Oryctolagus cuniculus: one gene and its partners. The protein of the gene in region 4 binds, or shares a complex with, the protein of the main gene of each other region. Links are inferred from orthologs where the notes say so. Each region holds a gene or a part of one and is shown on either strand. Other genes may lie near its edges.

What was found.
Region 1: the proteins of KCNAB2 (region 4) and KCNA2 are in contact, whole or in part, in a crystal structure (PDB 5WIE), measured with the Rattus norvegicus proteins. The link is inferred for Oryctolagus cuniculus from reciprocal best matches to the Homo sapiens genes KCNAB2 and KCNA2. Residues at the interface, in NP_059000.1 of Rattus norvegicus: Met193, Met196, Tyr199, Ser200, Arg203, Glu231, His234, Lys235, Ile236; in NP_037102.1 of Rattus norvegicus: Asp28, Glu33, Pro62, Met66, Phe69, Asp70, Pro71, Leu72, Arg73, Asn74, Tyr76.
Region 2: the proteins of KCNAB2 (region 4) and KCNA3 are in contact, whole or in part, in a cryo-EM structure (PDB 7EJ2), measured with the Homo sapiens proteins. The link is inferred for Oryctolagus cuniculus from reciprocal best matches to the Homo sapiens genes KCNAB2 and KCNA3. Residues at the interface, in NP_001186789.1 of Homo sapiens: Met196, Tyr199, Ser200, Arg203, Glu231, His234, Lys235, Ile236; in NP_002223.3 of Homo sapiens: Pro133, Met137, Phe140, Pro142, Leu143, Asn145, Tyr147.
Region 3: the proteins of KCNAB2 (region 4) and KCNA1 are in contact, whole or in part, in a crystal structure (PDB 1EXB), measured with the Rattus norvegicus proteins. The link is inferred for Oryctolagus cuniculus from reciprocal best matches to the Homo sapiens genes KCNAB2 and KCNA1. Residues at the interface, in NP_059000.1 of Rattus norvegicus: Met196, Tyr199, Ser200, Arg203, Glu231, Lys235, Ile236; in NP_775118.1 of Rattus norvegicus: Glu37, Met70, Phe73, Asp74, Pro75, Leu76, Asn78, Tyr80.

Annotation. Positions count from the first base shown.
Region 1 is NC_091438.1:59,753,194-59,757,440, reverse strand, and holds KCNA2 (potassium voltage-gated channel subfamily A member 2), read right to left. Parts: upstream 2,821-4,247; 5' UTR 2,759-2,820; exon of another isoform or gene 2,653-2,758; intron 2,192-2,652; 5' UTR 2,043-2,191; coding exon 543-2,042; 3' UTR 469-542; downstream 1-468. UniProt on the Homo sapiens protein: Voltage-gated potassium channel that mediates transmembrane potassium transport in excitable membranes, primarily in the brain and the central nervous system, but also in the cardiovascular system.
Region 2 is NC_091438.1:59,681,290-59,685,580, reverse strand, and holds the start of KCNA3 (potassium voltage-gated channel subfamily A member 3), read right to left. Parts: upstream 2,833-4,291; 5' UTR 2,695-2,832; coding exon 961-2,694; 3' UTR 1-960.
Region 3 is NC_091440.1:104,540,991-104,544,420, forward strand, and holds KCNA1 (potassium voltage-gated channel subfamily A member 1), read right to left. Parts: upstream 2,028-3,430; coding exon 540-2,027; downstream 1-539. UniProt on the Homo sapiens protein: Voltage-gated potassium channel that mediates transmembrane potassium transport in excitable membranes, primarily in the brain and the central nervous system, but also in the kidney.
Region 4 is NC_091438.1:161,396,584-161,400,935, forward strand, and holds the start of KCNAB2 (voltage-gated potassium channel subunit beta-2), read right to left. Parts: upstream 2,809-4,352; 5' UTR 2,720-2,808; intron 2,234-2,719; exon of another isoform or gene 2,115-2,233; intron 1-2,114.

The DNA of each region.
Region 1 (4,247 bases), about 100 Mb from region 4:
ACACGGAAAGGAATTCTAACACACAGGACTGTGTGCTCTTTTAAATGTAAAAAAAAAAAAAAAAAAAAAAAAAAGGAATGACCTTCTGAATAATGACCCAGAGCTTTAAAGCTAAGCCATAAGCCATGATAGTGCTCCTCTGTGAGGGGCAGGGAGGGAGCTCAAACAGGACGCGGGGTCGGGGTGAGGGGTGTGCATCTCTTGGGTGTTGTGGGCATTTGGTTAGGAAAGGAAGGTGGCACTGATATGGTGGTTTGAGTACTGGATATGAGGTGGCCTCAATGTGTCTTTCTAAAATCCTGGCTCCATAGGTGACTCCCATCTTTGGAAACCCAACAGCAGGTGATGAAGGTTTGCATGAAAGCCACGACAGATATTCTGTGTTCTAAATCAAAAATCAAAAGGTCGAAAGTCACTTGCACAACTATTGCTTTCCATGCAGAACCAGAGACACACTGTAGAACACACTGACTACAATGCAGGCTATTATGCAACATCTGCATTAGTTCCATGGAGCTGTGAGTTATGTTAAGAGGTTTCGATCAGACATCAGTTAACATTTTGGTAATATTCACATAGTTTGTGTTAGCCAAGGTACAGTTGGCTGTTTTCAAGTTTTCCTCTCTAAAGTCCTCATTACTGTTGTTCACACCCTCCTGGATCTCCATGTAATCGGACTTACTAATGGTGGAGGCACTTCTACTTTTCTTTAGGTCAGGGGAGGATGGGATCTTTGGACAGCTTGTCACTTGCAAGTACTGGGCCTGTTCCTCTCCCTCTGTCTCCCGGTGGTAGAAGTAGTTGAAATTGGACACTATGACTGGGACCGGTAAGGCAATGGTTAACACACCTGCGATGGCGCACAGAGAGCCCACTATCTTTCCCCCAATGGTGGTTGGAACCATGTCTCCATAGCCTACGGTTGTCATGGAGACGACTGCCCACCAGAAGGCATCCGGGATGCTGGGGAACTGAGAATCTCGCTCATCGGCTTCTGCAAAGTAGACAGCACTAGAGAACAGGATGACCCCGATGAAGAGGAAGAAGATCAGGAGGCCCAGTTCTCTCATGCTGGCTTTGAGGGTCTGCCCTAGAATCTGGAGACCTTTGGAGTGTCTGGACAACTTAAAAATCCTAAAGACTCTTACCAACCGGATGACTCGGAGGATGGCCAGCGACATGGCCTGCTGGCCCTGCTGGGCGTCCTCGGGCTTCTCGGCCAGCTCTGTCCCCAGGGTGATGAAGTAGGGGATGATGGCCACGATGTCAATGATGTTCATGATGTTGGTGAAGAACCCGGCTTTGCTGGGGCAGGCAAAGAACCTCACCAGGAACTCAAAGGAGAACCAGATGATGCAGAGCGTCTCCACGATGAAGAAGGGGTCGGTGAAGGAGGTGGACTGCTGGTAGCCGGCGGTGCTGTTGGAGTAGGTGTGGAAGGTCATGCCGCTGCCATGCATGTCTTCGTTCTCGTCCCGGAAGATGGGCAGCGTCTCCAGGCAGAAGCTGACGATGGAGATCAGGATCACCATGACGGACACGATGGCTATAATCCTGGCGGGCCCTGAGCTCTCTGGGTATTCGAAGAGAAGCCAAACCTGCCTCTGGAACTCATTTTCGGGCAGGGGCCGTTCCTCCTCCTTGATGTAGCCCTCGTCCTCCCGAAACATCTCCATGGCCTCCTCACCCAGCTCGTAGAACCGGATCTCCTCGGAGAAGATGTCCAGGGGCACGTTCACGGGCCGCCGCAAGCGGCCCCCTGACTGGTAGTAGTACAGGATGGCGTCAAAGCTGGGGCGGTTCCGATCGAAGAAGTACTCATTGCGGAGGGGGTCGAAGTACCGCATGCGCTTCTTTGGGTCCCCTAACAGGGTCTCTGGGAACTGGGCCAAGGTCTTGAGCTGTGTCTCAAACCGCAGCCCTGAGATGTTGATGACCACCCTCTCGCAGCACTCATGGTCTGCCTCGGGGTCGTAGGTGTCCTGGGGGTGCCCAGGCAGGGCAGCGGCCTCATCTGCCGGGTCTCCGGTGGCCACTGTCATTATTGGGGCTGAGAGAAATGCCTCCTGCTACGCCTTCCAGCTGCCTGGTGGCAGGGAGCTCAGGGTGCTGCGAACGGCCCCAGGTAGCGCAGAAGCATTGGCCTGGGCGCCCCCAGAGCTCTCTGAGAGCTGGGGACAGCCTCGCTGGGCTGTAAGACAGAGGCAGTGAAGGACGTGAGACCACTTGGCATTGGCAACCTGCCCTGGGCTGCTGCCTGGGTCTCCCATCTCAGCCAAGGGCTAAGCCACCTGGACACAACCACCAGCACCACCAGCACCATGGCCAGAAAGTAAAATTCCCTTTCACCTTGTAACTCGTCTGGGGCATTGGAAGGGAGCAGGTGTCGGTCTTTCAAGGGAGCTCTGGCACTGGGGGAAGGTGGCGGGTGCAGCCCCCCTCTGCACCACGAAGCTTCCTAGAACACAGCCCCACACAAGGAGGGGACCCCTTTCCCACACACTGCACTAATGGCTTACAGATGCTTGCACCCTGGGAGGGATCATGTGCAGGCTCTTGGTTTGGGGTGTTCTGCCTGCCCTCTCCCCTCACTCCCTCCCCACCCCCCCATAACTCTACACATGGTTGCCATTCCACCACAGGTGGGTTTACCTGGCCGGCAGGAACCTGAAGCTCTCTTCTTTGCAGAACTGATCAGATGGTGCAGGTATCCTATACACACAAACAGGCCGCCCGACTCCCCATCACGTCCTCTCACCGAGCTAGAAATGGTGAGTCATGCCGGGCAGGAGGGCAGGCTCCAGGTCCTGGAGGTGAGCTCTGGGGCTGGGCCCAGCTGGAGGGGCAGTGGGCTGCCTGGCCAGGGGCGTGCAGGAAGAGAGCGGCTGGCCTTGGGTCTGGAGCCTTTGCAAGGAAGGTGGCAAGATGCACAGCTCAGCAAAAGCCGGAGTCCTGGCTGTCCTCAGGAGGTGTGACCCGGCCTGGAAAAAACAGGAGCAAGGTGGAACCAGGGCTTGGGGGCAGCTGGTGCCAAGGTTTCGGAGGGCTCTGGCAGCTTCACTCGCTGGAGGTGACAGGCTCTTGCCCAGATCTATCCCTCAGCCTCGCAGCCTCTCCTGGGCAGGCTTCCCAGGACTGGAAGCGCCTTCTCCCAGGGAGCAAACCTTCGGGCTTGGCTGCCTGTCTTCTCCAGGGGCCTCCCTGAGCTGATCCACATCCCTGGTCCTGAGCAACCAGGGGAGTGGGGGTGGGGGAATGGCTCTGGGCAACGCACCCCTGGCTCTGCAGGTCGGCACAGCACCACCCAAGGGGAGGGCTTTGCTCACTGCAGCCTGCCTACAAGCTCTGACCTCAGCCAGGTTGTGCAGAAAGAAGCGCCCCATTGCCCCCCTCCCCCCAAAGCGTTCGTTCAGAGCTCGGCGATGGCGACCCCTCCCACAGCTAGGTTGCCTCGCACCGGAGCCGGCCGGCAGGGTGGCTGGGCCGCTGAACTTACTCTCCCCCCAGGGTCCCTGGGCCGCAGGCCTCCCTTGGAGGTGGGTGGCATTGAGCTGGGCAGGCGCACGACCACTGGTTTCTCCCCCAAGAGAAAAATCCTCACATCTCCCCGGCGGGGAGCTCAGAACAAACGCTCAGCCAACCCGGCTGAGAGGCGAGAGGGGGAGCCTGCAGGAAGCCGGCTTCCGGGCTGGCCCCCTGCCGACCCAATCCCCAGGCCCCAAGGCGGGGAGGGGTCCGGGCCCTCGCGGCAGCGCCCCGGGCAGCGGCCGGGATTCCGCCCGGCGCACTCCCCGCGCCGCTCCGCGCGACGGACGGGATCCTGCAGCCCCGCCGCTGCAGCTAGCGCCGCCTTAACCCCTTCCTGCCCGGCGCGCTCTGCTCCCGCAGCGACGACCCCGAGCGCAGTCCAGCTTTTGACCTCAGGGTCCAACTGAGGGACCCGCGAGGCTACCCTCTGCACGCGAAAACGATCGAGCTTGGGCTCGGGCGGGGCGTGGACAGGCCGGCTGCTGTCCTAGATCTCCGCTTCCTCCTAAGCCGCGGGGCTCGGCGCCAGCCCGCGGCCCCCAGCAGCGGGGGAGAAGCCCCTCTCCGCCGCAAAGCCGCTCTCGGCATCCTGCCGGAGGGGTGAACGCAGCTCGGTGGTCCCGCTGGCCGGCGCTATTTACCAGACACGGTTACGCTCAGCTGCACTTCCCATCACCCGCAGGCTCCTCCGCGCCCTCCGCCCCTCGCCCGCAGAGGGT
Region 2 (4,291 bases), about 100 Mb from region 4:
TGGAAACGGCAGGGGCTAGGGGGTGGGGCTAGAGAGCAAGAGATACCATGACAACCTTTTTCGGGTTTCCCAGGAAACATAGGTTGCTATGGGAACTGCATCAGTCAGGTCCGAATTAGTAACTTCCGCTGGAAGGGGTGTCTGCCACTTTAATCTTCTGGTGATACTGCAGAAGCTTATCTCTCAAATGCATTAGGAAATTCTTTGTTTCTCTCAGCAGCACTGAAAACATCTGTTTCTAGACTTTGATAGATGTTGGCTGGGGCATATGCACAGAACTTCAGAAGAATCTGTTAGTTTAATACTTTCGAAATGCTTTGTAAGTCCCAAAGAGTTAAACATATTAGTCAGATCAGAACATTCTGGGCATTTCCCTTTGTTCAAAGTTGTAAGAACCCTTAAAGTTCTGGGAGGAGGAACTCAAACAGAAATTCCAGTCCAAAACCAACTAAACTTCTGGTGGGGTTTCAAGTCACTGTTTTAGTTCTATTTTCCATCCACATATCCAAAGAGTAGGCAACTGAACTACATAGTTAATAGGTAATGTCTAAGAGTCCATCAAACTGAAGCATCCTGTAAGCATTTACCGGCTTTACTTAGTAAAGAAATAATTACCTTTCAATTTTGAGGTTAAACAGTTCTAACTGTTCTGTAGTTTCATTTCCTCCCAGGATGTACTTTTTTTTAAAATAGGGCGTGTCCTAGAAATCAAGTGCAATGTTAAGTTTGTTGTTCAGAAAATTAAGAGAGAGGGAGAGGAAAAAAAGAGCCGAGAGAATGCAGCCCACTTGCAAAACAGGCACCTGTTTCAGTATGAAGCAATAGGGAGAGGGAGAATGGAATGTGCTTCCCACTTCTTCACGTCCTGTCCTTGATGGATGGTCTGGAAATGTATAAAACAAGGGCATACACAGACCAAGGGGGCACGTTCCACACAGTACTGAGCACTCGTGTCAATTATTAAACATCGGTGAATATCTTTTTGATGTTGACACAGGAGTTGGGGTTATTGTTCGTGGTGCAAGTGGCAGTGGAGTTGCCCGTTTTGAAAGGGGTCTGGGGGAAAGCACTATGGTTCATACCCCCCTCTTCGATCACCATGTACTCCGACTTACTCAGAGTCGAGTTACTCCTTGCTTTTCGGAGCTCCTCGGCTGAAGAGGAGAGGTGCTGGCAACTTCCCACGTGCATGTACTGGGCTTGCTCTTCCCCTTCGGTCTCCCGGTGGTAGAAGTAATTGAAGTTGGAAACAATCACAGGAACGGGCAATGCAATGGTCAAAACCCCGGCGATGGCACACAGAGAGCCCACAATCTTGCCCCCTATGGTCACAGGGTGCATATCGCCGTAGCCGACTGTTGTCATGGTCACCACTGCCCACCAGAAGGCATCCGGGATACTGCTAAAGCCCGAAGTGGGGTCGTCCGCCTCGGCAAAGTAGACGGCGCTGGAGAAGAGGATGACCCCAATGAAGAGGAAGAAGATGAGCAGCCCCAGCTCCCGCATGGAAGCCTTCAGCGTCTGCCCCAGGATCTGCAGCCCCTTGGAGTGACGGGACAGCTTGAAGATGCGGAAGACCCTCACCAGGCGGATGACCCTCAGGATGGCCAGGGACATGGCCTGCTGTCCGTTGCCCTGTCGCTCGGCCAGCTCGGTGCCCAGGGTGATGAAGTAGGGAATGATGGCCACGATGTCGATCAGGTTCATGATGTTTCGCGAGAAGGTGGCTTTGCTGGGACAAGCGAAGAAGCGCACGAGCAGCTCGAAGGAGAACCAGATGATGCACAGGGTCTCCACCACGAAGAAGGGGTCGGAGAAGCTGGAGGCTCCGGCGGGGGCCCCCGACGTGCCGTTGCCGGCCGCCTCCACCACATCCTGCGACGGCGCGGCCGGGTAGTCCTTCTCATCGCGAAACTCGGGCAGCGTCTCCAGGCAGAAGATGACGATGGAGATGAGGATGACGAGCACGGACACGATGGCGATGCCCCGGGCCGGCCCGGAGCTCTCAGGGTACTCGAAGAGCAGCCACACCTGGCGCTGGAAGTCGCGGCGGGGCAGCGGCCGCTCCTCCTCCCGCAGGAAGCCCTCGTCCTCGCGGAACTTCTCCATGGCCTCCTCGCCCAGCTGGTAGAAGCGGATCTCCTCGGAGAAGATGTCGATGGGCACGTTGACCGGCCGGCGGATGCGGCCCCCGGACTGATAGTAGTAGAGGATGGCGTCGAAGCTGGGCCGGTTGCGGTCGAAGAAGTACTCGTTGCGGAGCGGGTCGAAGTACCGCATGCGCCGCTTGGGGTCGCCCAGAAGCGTCTCTGGGAACTGGCAGAGGGTCTTGAGCTGCGTCTCGAAGCGCAGCCCCGAGATGTTGATGACCACGCGCTCCCCGCAGCACTCCTGCTCCCCGGCGGCCGGCAGCGGCTCGTAGCGGTCACAGCCACCGCCGCCGCCGCCGCCCTGAGGCGGGCCCCCTCCGCCGTCGGCCGCCTCGGGCTCCAGCAGGTGGTCCCCGGGCACCACCGTCATGTCGGGAGGCAGCTCGGGGTCTGCGGCGGGCTCGGCGTAGCCGGGGTTCACCAGGGTGTGGGCGCCGCTACCGCTGCCGCCGCCGCCGCGGCTCGCGGGGTCCTGGGGAGGGTGGGCGCGGTGGCGGGCGGAGGTCTGCGGCGGCGAGCGCAGGAGGCTGAGGTGCTCGTCCATGCGGCGGCGAAGAGGCGGCGGTGGGGCCGAGCCGCTCCTCCTCGCGCTCCCCGCCCCTCGGCCGCCTCCGTCCGGAGCCGAGCCCGCCGCCTGTTGCTGCAGCCGCCGCGAGGCTCAGTCTGGCTCTGGCGCGGCTGGTGCGGCTCCGGCAACACAGACGCCTCCCCACGCCTCCTCCTCGCTCCCCGCCGCCCTCGCCCCCGCGGGGCGCGCGCCCGCCCTCCGCGTCCCCTCAGGATTCCCGCCCACCGCGCGGGCGCGCGCCCCGCTCCCCGGGCGAGCGCCGAGCCTGCAGCTGGCCCCTGCCCTCCACCCCGGTCCGTAGCACACGAACGCCCTCATTTTGCACCTCGGAGCGCCCTGGCCCTTGAACCTCTCTGGCCAGCCGAGCTGACCCTCTGGGAATCCGGCCCCCTGAGTTCAGCCCGCTTCTCGTCAGCGGCCCCCTCCCCCCAGGTCTGGTCTCACGTTGCGGGGCTTCTGGACCTCCGAACGCGGAGGCGGGCGGGGAGGGAGGATGAGGAGGGGGCGCCTGGTGCACGTCCCCGAGCCTTGTCGAGGGGGGGAATGGCAGGGCCGGGCGGGCTCCCTAGGCAGGCGGGGAGGCCGGGGCCAGTGTCCTGGGCTCACTTGGGAGTGGTGGACCGCCCAGCCCTGGGCCGGAGATGTTCTCAATAATGTAGCTCGGGCCTGGCTAAGCCGAGTGGAGGAATGGGTGCTGATGGCTTCCGCAACCGGACTCTGAAAGCAATGGGTCATTACAGGCGTTCAGGGACCTGGATTCTGTAGCGAGCACTTCACGGAGGACCGTTTCTGGCTGGGATTAGCAAGGGCAGCCTGGTCTTTACAGGACCCTGTTTCCTGTCCATGAGAAAAAAGGAGGAAAAGTGGGAAACGTGGCCAATGCTAGTTAGAAAGTTCAACCTCCTGGGGTCGACGTTGTTGCGCTGAGCCGCCTGCATTCCTCATAGGAGTGCCTGGTTCAAGTCCAATCGCCTCCAGTCCCAGCTTCCTGCTGATGGGCATCCTGGCATCCAGCGGGTGATGGCTCAGGTGCTTGGGTTCCTGCCACCCACTTCCTGCCCTGGCTGTTGCCCACATTTGGGGAGTGAACCAGCAGATATTCTTCTCTCTCTCTCTTTCAAATTAATTAAATAAATCTTAAAAAAAATTGGACCCCCTGACTTACGTCTGTCTTGGGAGGGATGGGAGCAGGGCCTCCTCCCTGGACTCCACTTAATATGCTGGTTCCACATGCTAGTTCCACGTTCTGTTTCTCCTCCTACTGCTTGATATGGGCTCAGAGGTAATTGTTGCTTATCCTCTTTGAGCGAAAACTATTTCTCCAAATTGTGGTCACTTCGAACACAATTTCTGTTTCCAGAAATTTTAACTATTCCAGTATGTCAACCCTAGGCTTAAAAAAGAAATTTGGGATCTGCGTTGTGGCATAACAGGTTAAGTTGTGGCATCCCTGACTGTGTCCTGGCTGTTCTTCGTCTTCTTCTTCTTCTTCTTCTTCTTCTTTTTTTTTTACTGGCCAATATATTATTTTTTTATTTAGTAAATATAAATTTTCAAAGTACAGTTAATGGAT
Region 3 (3,430 bases), on a different chromosome or scaffold from region 4:
TTTCACCTAGTCATATGCAGTTCAGTTGATCCAAATAGAAGCATTTGTTCACTGTCCCGGGGGCTGGGGTATCGTGTTAACTGCAACACAGTTAATGCACAGTCTTATTGTGCACTTTGCAAAGGTTTTACATCGGAGTCCCATGCAAATGCTAGTTTTTTAAGTGATCGTTTGGCTTTTAGTTTAAGTTTTTTAAAAAAATGTTAAACAAGCCAAAGGGTTAAAAATGTTTCAGAATGGGGGTGGCATCTAAATCATATTTCACCTAGACTAGTTCATGGACTGCATTTTTTAAAGCCAGTTTTAGAAAATACCCTTTCTCTTCCCAACTTTATTTTTCAATAAAATGAAAATAGTCTCTTTTTTCAGGAATCTCAAAAAGTGTCTGGTAGGCCACCTCCAGAATCCACAATGCAACAATGCATTGACGGTGAAACAGAGCGTTCAGAGATTATCTAGGAAAGTATCTACAAAGTGTGCGCTCTGTTTTCTGCGTCTGGTAAGCGGGGGGGCGGCTTTGCGTGCACCTGCACCTTTCTCTAAACATCGGTCAGGAGCTTGCTCTTATTAACGCAGTTTTGGTTAGCGGTGGTGCAGTTCCCAGTTCTGAGGTTGGCCTGTCTATAATGGGCTATGCTGTTACTCATTTCCTCCTCGATCTCCATGTACTCAGACTTGCTCACAGTGGAGGAACTGCGGCGGCTGAGGTCACTGTCAGAGGCTAAATTCGGGGCGCTAACGTGGAGCAGCTGAGCTTGCTCCTCCCCCTCAGTTTCTCGGTGGTAGAAATAGTTGAAATTGGACACAATGACAGGTACGGGCAGGGCAATTGTCAGCACACCAGCGATGGCACACAAGGAGCCCACGATCTTGCCTCCAATTGTCACAGGGTACATGTCACCGTATCCCACGGTGGTCATGGACACCACCGCCCACCAGAAAGCATCGGGGATACTGGAGAAGTGCGACTCAGCTTCCTCCGCCTCGGCAAAGTACACTGCGCTAGAAAACAGGATGACGCCGATGAAGAGGAAGAAGATGAGCAGCCCTAGCTCTCTCATGCTAGCCTTGAGGGTCTGGCCCAGAATCTGCAGGCCCTTGGAGTGGCGGGAGAGTTTGAAGATCCTAAACACCCTGACCAGGCGGATGACCCGCAGGATGGCCAGCGAGGTGGCCTGCTCGCCTTTCTGGTTGCCCTCCTGCTCCGCTATCTCCGTGCCCAACGTGATGAAGTAGGGGATGATGGCCACGATGTCGATGAAGTTCATGATGTTCTTGAAGAAGTCTGTCTTGCTGGGGCAGGCGAAGAAGCGCACCACCAGCTCGAAGGAGAACCAGATGATACACAGCGTCTCCACGATGAAGAAGGGGTCCGTGAAGATGTTGGCGCTGTAGACCACGGTGGTGTTGTCGACGCGGCGGAAGGTGCCCGCCAGGTCCTTGTCGTCTTTCAGCTCGGGCAGGGTCTCCAGGCAGAAGATGACGATGGAGATGAGGATGACCATGACCGAGACAATGGCGATGACGCGCGCAGGGCCCGAGCTCTCGGGGTACTCGAAGAGCAGCCACACCTGGCGCTGGTACTCCTTCTCGGGCAGGGGGCGCTCCTCCTCCTTGATGAAGCCCTCGTCCTCCCGGAACTTCTCCATGGCCTCCTCACCCAGCTCGTAGAACTTAATTTCCTCGGAGAACATGTCCAGGGGCACGTTGACCGGCCGGCGCAGGCGGCCCCCGGACTGGTAGTAGTACAGGATGGCGTCGAAGCTTGGCCGGTTGCGGTCGAAGAAGTACTCGTTCCTCAGCGGGTCGAAGTAGCGCATGCGCTTCTTCGGGTTGCCCAGCAGCGTGTTGGGGAACTGCGCCAGGGTCTTGAGCTGCGTCTCGAAGCGCAGCCCTGAGATGTTGATCACCACGCGCTCACAGCACTCGTGCTCGTCGTGCTCGGCCGGCCGCGGGTAGCCGCCCTCCTGGGGGTGGCCCGGGGCGGCCGAGGCCTCGTCCACGTTCTCCCCTGACACCACCGTCATGATGGAAGCCGGCCGGGCTTAAGGGTGGGAGGCCTGGGGTGGGGGTGAGGGTGGCGAGGAGCCTGGGGCTGGGGAAGCGTGAGCGCGGAGGGGCTGGGGGGACCCAGGCGCAGCCACCGCGCCGCCGCAGCCACCACCACCGCCACCCGCGTGCGGGTCTCCCCAGCGCTCAGGGGGCTGGGCTTCCGAGCGAGCAGGTGAGCGGACCTGCGATTTGGCTCCCGGTTGCCTGGCCCTGCACCTTGTCTGTTTCTGGAATGGGAATCCCCCTCGTCGGCGCGGACCAGGATTTTGTGCCGACGGCCGAGTTTGGAGGATGTGCTTGTTTCGTTTTGTTTTGTTCTAAAAGTTGTTTATTTTTTTCTTTTTCTTTTATTTTGTATTCCTTCCTGCCCCGCGGTGCCTTAACGCAGAGCCGCTCCAGTGGATCGGGCCATGGCTTCGGGGCGCGCCCCGGCCTCCCCGCCCCGCCGCCAGCCCTCCCTGGACCGCGGGGCGCTGCCAGCTCAGCGGAGCCCCACGCCTGCCACCCCCTCCGCTGCTCCTCGGCTCGCCCCCCTCCTAGCCCTCTTCGCCTGCCGCCTTCTAAGCTCCCACCAAGGGCGATCGATGCACGCTGCAGAGAAATAGAAAGTGATACGGGGGGCAGAGAATCAGAAGCGTTCCGATGGGACGGACCGACAGACACCGAAGAGCACGGACGTGCAGCTTGTGGGGAACGCACTGGACTCGGACCAAGGACAGCACACACACGCAGACAGACACACACGCAGACACCCCGAAATCCAAGTTTGGGGCTCTTCCGTCCCACTTTCCCCGGTGCCCAACGGCCGAGCTGTTTACAACTCCGCTACACTGGAGATCGCTAAAGCGCCAAGAGACCCCAGGAGGGGGAGCTCCGGATCCCGAGCAGCGTCTCTGCAACCCTCCCCCCAACGTACACACACCCGCCGTCCCCACCCCGTCACCCCAACACCCGGGTCCCGCAGCCCCGGGCTGCGGAGCCCCCTACCTGGACTGCTGGCTTGGCGCAGGGCGGTGCGGAGTCTGCCGGGAGCCCGGGTCGGGGTGCGGCAGGTCGTCTTAGCTGCAGCCGGACGCGAGTCTCCGCGCCGCCGCCGCAGCAGCCGAGAGGCACCCGGCACCCCAGCCGTCCTGGTCCGTCCGCTCGTCCTGTGCGGCTCTCAGTCGGACTATCGCTTCAGCGAGCAGCTGCGGCGGAGACCTCGGCTCCCTGCCCCCATGCTCCCCGGGCGCCGGCAACCTGGAGACGCCGTTCTCTCGCCAGTGCAGGGAGCTCCGGAGGATGCGGGGCGGAAATGCCAAATGCCACCCTCTCCCGAAGCTGGGAGGCAAAAGACGATCGCCAACACTCTCGCCGCCTCCCAACCCCGTGGGAGCCC
Region 4 (4,352 bases):
CCCAGCACCTCAGGAGGATTTCTGGAGTTGGGCTGAACAGCAGAGGGAGCGCTGGCCACACGGTCCTGGCAGGGCAGGACAGCATCAAGGCCCCCTCACCGCTGGAGGCCGGAGGGTCAGTCTGGCGTTGCCCAGGCCTCAGTTTCCCCATCCATGCTGACCAGCCCACTTCGCAGGGCCCCAGGGTGAAACGAGGCAGGAAGTGCAGTTCCTGTGTCGGGGCAGTCCCTTCTCTGCTTGTCCCCCCTCCAACCGCTTGGCCACGGTGTGGACAGTCACGAACAATCGCACGCTCACACTGCGCGTCTGCCAGGTCTTGTAGGGCTGTGGTCGGCCAGAATTCTCTGTGGTCAGTGGCACTGCCCATCCCCAGCAGCCCTCCGGTGACACAGATGTCCACAAGGGCACTGGCACAGCGGCTTCCCAAAGGGCGGCCGGCCGTGCCCTTGGGGTGTCGGCTTCCTGCAGCTCCGACCACCAAGGATGCAAAGAAGTGGGGGCCCGGTATGGCCTCTCCGTGACCTTGGAGAAGTCTCCACCCTCTGAGAGAGGGCAGGGCGGAGCCTGGGGTGGCCCAGGCCCTTGTAGCTTTAGGACCTCTCTCTCTGGCTGCTGGGAGAGGGGGTATGGGCAAGTGTGGGGTCTCCGGCCCTGCCCACTGACAGAGGCAGCCCTTCCTGGACCCTGCCCACAGCCGCTCATGGCTCACCTCCTTGTTTAGGGACCGTTGGTGACACCAGGGTCCCAGAGATACCAGCCAAGGACCAAACACACCGGAGACCGAGCCACACTCCCCAGGTCTCCAGCAGGGAAGCGGGCTTTCTGTCCACATAGCCACCGTCTGTCTGCCCCATTGCCACAGCCGGTGCCAACACACAGCAAGGTCTAGAGGAGCCCCTCCCGCCAGCCCTCACCGGAAACTGCCAGACCAAAGCTCTGCCACTCACTTCCTCCTGAATCATTCGGGTTTGACAAGACGACTGGAAGAGGCAAGCGAGCCAGGCCAAGGCTGAGGCCCCCCGAGCCGGCCAGCCCAGAGCTCTCTGGGCTGAACCTCCCAGGGCCACGGCCTGCGCCCCACCGCACCCCAGCTCCCGGGGGCAATCGGCGCTGTGCGTGCTTCCTGCCTACCAGGCTCCGGATCCAGACGCACACGGGTTTTGAACACAAGAAGCACATGGCAAGGACTGCGTGCGTTTTCAGGACACCTCCCTCTCCCCCTTGCCCGGCTCGACCCCTGGGCACTGATCAGTGCCCACAAAGCATGTGTTGCCTGGTGTAACGACGACGAACGGAGGGTGGACGTTGGCTGTACAAGGGAAGCCTCCGGCGGGCTGCTCTGGAGGCAGGGACGTGCTGAGGCCCCAACACTGTCCACGCCACTGAGGCCGTGTGGACTTGGAGACCTCTCCCTGGAGAGGCTGCACGTCGGGCCTGCTGGACAGCATCCGGGGAGCCGGGTGCAGCGAGAGCACAGGGCCAGGAGCCCAGGAGCCCAGGAGCCGCCCGTGGACACGTCTGCCAGGCACGCATCGGGTGGGCAGACAGTGCCCACGCACAGGCCCCCAAGCCTGCAGCAGGCCCAAGTGCAGTACGGCAGCAGAGCAGGCGCCTGCACTTGGCAGGGGGGGGGAGGTGGCGCTGGTGGCGTTTTTGAGGGGGAGAAGTTGCAGAGAGAGAAATCCTGACATGACAGACAGCGGGACAGCTGTGGCCTGAACTTGGTGTTCTTACGCTCAGATGTGCACGAATTAATTTCCATAAATGCTAACGGCCCATTTCTCCAAGAGCTATTACTTATGTCATCTCCCCTTGGAAACGGTTCAACACAGGGCAGGCAGATGAAAGGGAGGCGGAGGCTCCCCCTCCCCCCACGGCCCGGGCCCCTGCTCCTGGCCTCTCTCCCACCCAGGCAAGCCCTGCGAACTGCAGTCAAGACCACCCACCCTTAGTCCCACGGCCAGGTCTCCACCACCCCAGGGAGCCCAAAAGTGCTGACTCACAAAATGAAGCAGAACAGGGAGGGGGGGTGGGGAGGGAGATGGTGACGGGGCGGAGGCAGGGGCTTCCCACCTGGAGCACCCAGGGTGCTCTAGGAGAGCCTGGTCCTGCAGAAGAGCCAGAGGGGCTGCCTGGGCGCCCGGGCGCGCGGTGTGCGTGTGTGTGTGTGTGGGGGGGGGCAGGGGTGCGCCCTGCAGCAGCCGGGTCTCCGCATCCGCAGGAGCAGCTGCAGGTAGGGAGGTGGGGGCGCCCTGGGCCAGGGCTCCGGGAGGGAGGAAGCTGCAGATGGGGGTGCGAGCTCGGGGAACGGGGTGCGGGGTGTAGGGGGCCAGAGGAGCCGGCAGGAGGGGAGCGCCCACGGGAGAGATGGCGGGGGCCGGGGGCACCGCGGGACCCGGGCCGAGCCGTCGGAGGAGGGCACGCGGGGCGCTCCGACGGGGCGAGGGGGAGGCGAGGCTGCGGGATGCCCGAGCCGCGGGAAGTTGTGCAGGGTCGGGGTGGCAGCTGGAAGGTCAGGCGGGAGGACAGATGGGGAAGAGAAGCGCGCACGGCCTGGGGGAAGGGAGGCGAGCGAGAAGGCGGTGAGGAGGCTGGAGAGGCTGAGACCGGCGGCGGCGGCGGCGGGGACGCAGGGCCGGGCGGGAGGAGCGGGCGAAGGGCCGTGCCCACCGCACGCCCAGACCACGCGCGGCCCGCCGGGGTCTCCCCCGCCACTCACCTGGGGGCTCCAGCTCCGGATCCTGAGTCCCGCTCCGGATCTTCCTTCCCGCCCTGCCCCTGCGACTCGAGCGCCCCCGAATCCCGCTCGCTCGGGCAGGTTCCGCCCGCAGCATCTTCACCTCGTGGGACGCCCGCGGCCACGCCTCCGGCAGTTTCTTATTGGCTGGCGCTCACGCCTCTCATCTTGATATTGGCTAAGGGATCGTCGGCCATGCAAATCAGGACGGGCCCGCTGCCTCACCGATTGGCTGGCGCTCGCGGAGGGCCGCCCCCCTTGACTTGTGCTCTGATTGGCTCCGAGGCCTTGACGACGAGAGGAACGCGGGGCGGGTCCGCGGCCTGAGCGCTGGGCGCCAGCTTTCCGAGGCTCCTCCGAGCGGCCCGAAGCAGCGCGCCCCTCAGCCGGCCCTCGGCCCGCAAGACCTGAGGCCAGTACACAAGACCGCGTACTGGCTGCCAGGCCTCTGGGCCCGTCGTGAGGGGACTTCCTCGAAAGCGCGGGCCTGGTCAGTCGGCCGGTCGCGGCGGGCCCGTCTCCTTGGTAACGCGGTCCACGGTGGGAGGAACCATGTGGGCTGGTGCCACGGGGGAGGTCGGACAAGGCCGCAGAGCAGGACGGGGCCTCTGGACCCGGGGATGGGATGGTTCGTTCGGGCCCTGTGTGGGGCACCCGGAGCCTGAGGGGTGCGGCGGCGGGGCGCTGCGCGGGGCTCTGTCCCCGTGGTCGCCCGCCGCCAGTCCCCTCCGTGACATTTGGTGCGGTCCAGGCCGCTGGGTACCCTGAGCTCCCGGCTCGCCCTTTGCCCCCAGTCTCCGGCCTCTGCGCCCCTCTGCAGCCCCCCAGCCGAAGCGGGGCATCGCCTGAGCTCTGCCGAGGCCCGTGGCCTTGGTTCCCTGGCCTCCGTGTGCCTCAGGCCTCTCCGTGTGCATCCTTTGCCGGCGGAGCCCGAGGGCTCGCGTCCGACTGTCCGGCTCCTGCGGGCCCTAGGGTTGTCCACGAGACTCTGCTCGGGGCCCCTGTGGCCTTCACCTCCACGCGCCGACCAGCCAGCCCCGCTGCTGCCCGGCTCTGCCCAGTTGGCCTCTGGAGGACTTCGCAAGGGTCCAAGGGTCCCCCTGCGCCCAGGGGGGAGGCGGAACGTGGGGGCCCCCTGCGTTCGCTGCGGCTTTCTGGGTCGCTGTGCAGGGCCGGTCCCCGAAGCTCAGGTGGTCTCTGTGCACATGGTCCTCACCAAGGCTGGAGCCCCTTTCTGTGGGGCCCTCCGGCCGCGGGGCTTCAGCCAACTGACCTGAGCCTCCCTGGCTCTGACCTCACTCCCGCGGGGGCTGGCTTTTGGCCGGTTTTCCTCTGTGCGTTGGGGGCTGTGGTGGTGCTGAGCGTGCGGAGTTGCTGGGGCGATGAAGTGGCCGTGTGGCTGGGTGGCCGGCGCTTCCTGCCTGTTTCCCCCGGGAGCGCCTGCTTTGGGTTTGCTCTCTGTCCTTTGGGCCCCAGAGGTGCTTCTGCTCTTGTTCCAGGACATCTATCTATCTATCTATCTTTCTTTTTTTTTTTTTTTTTTTTTTTTTTTTTTTTTAAGATCTATTTATTTGAAAGGCGGAGATACAGAGAAAGAACGAGAGGGGAGAGGAAG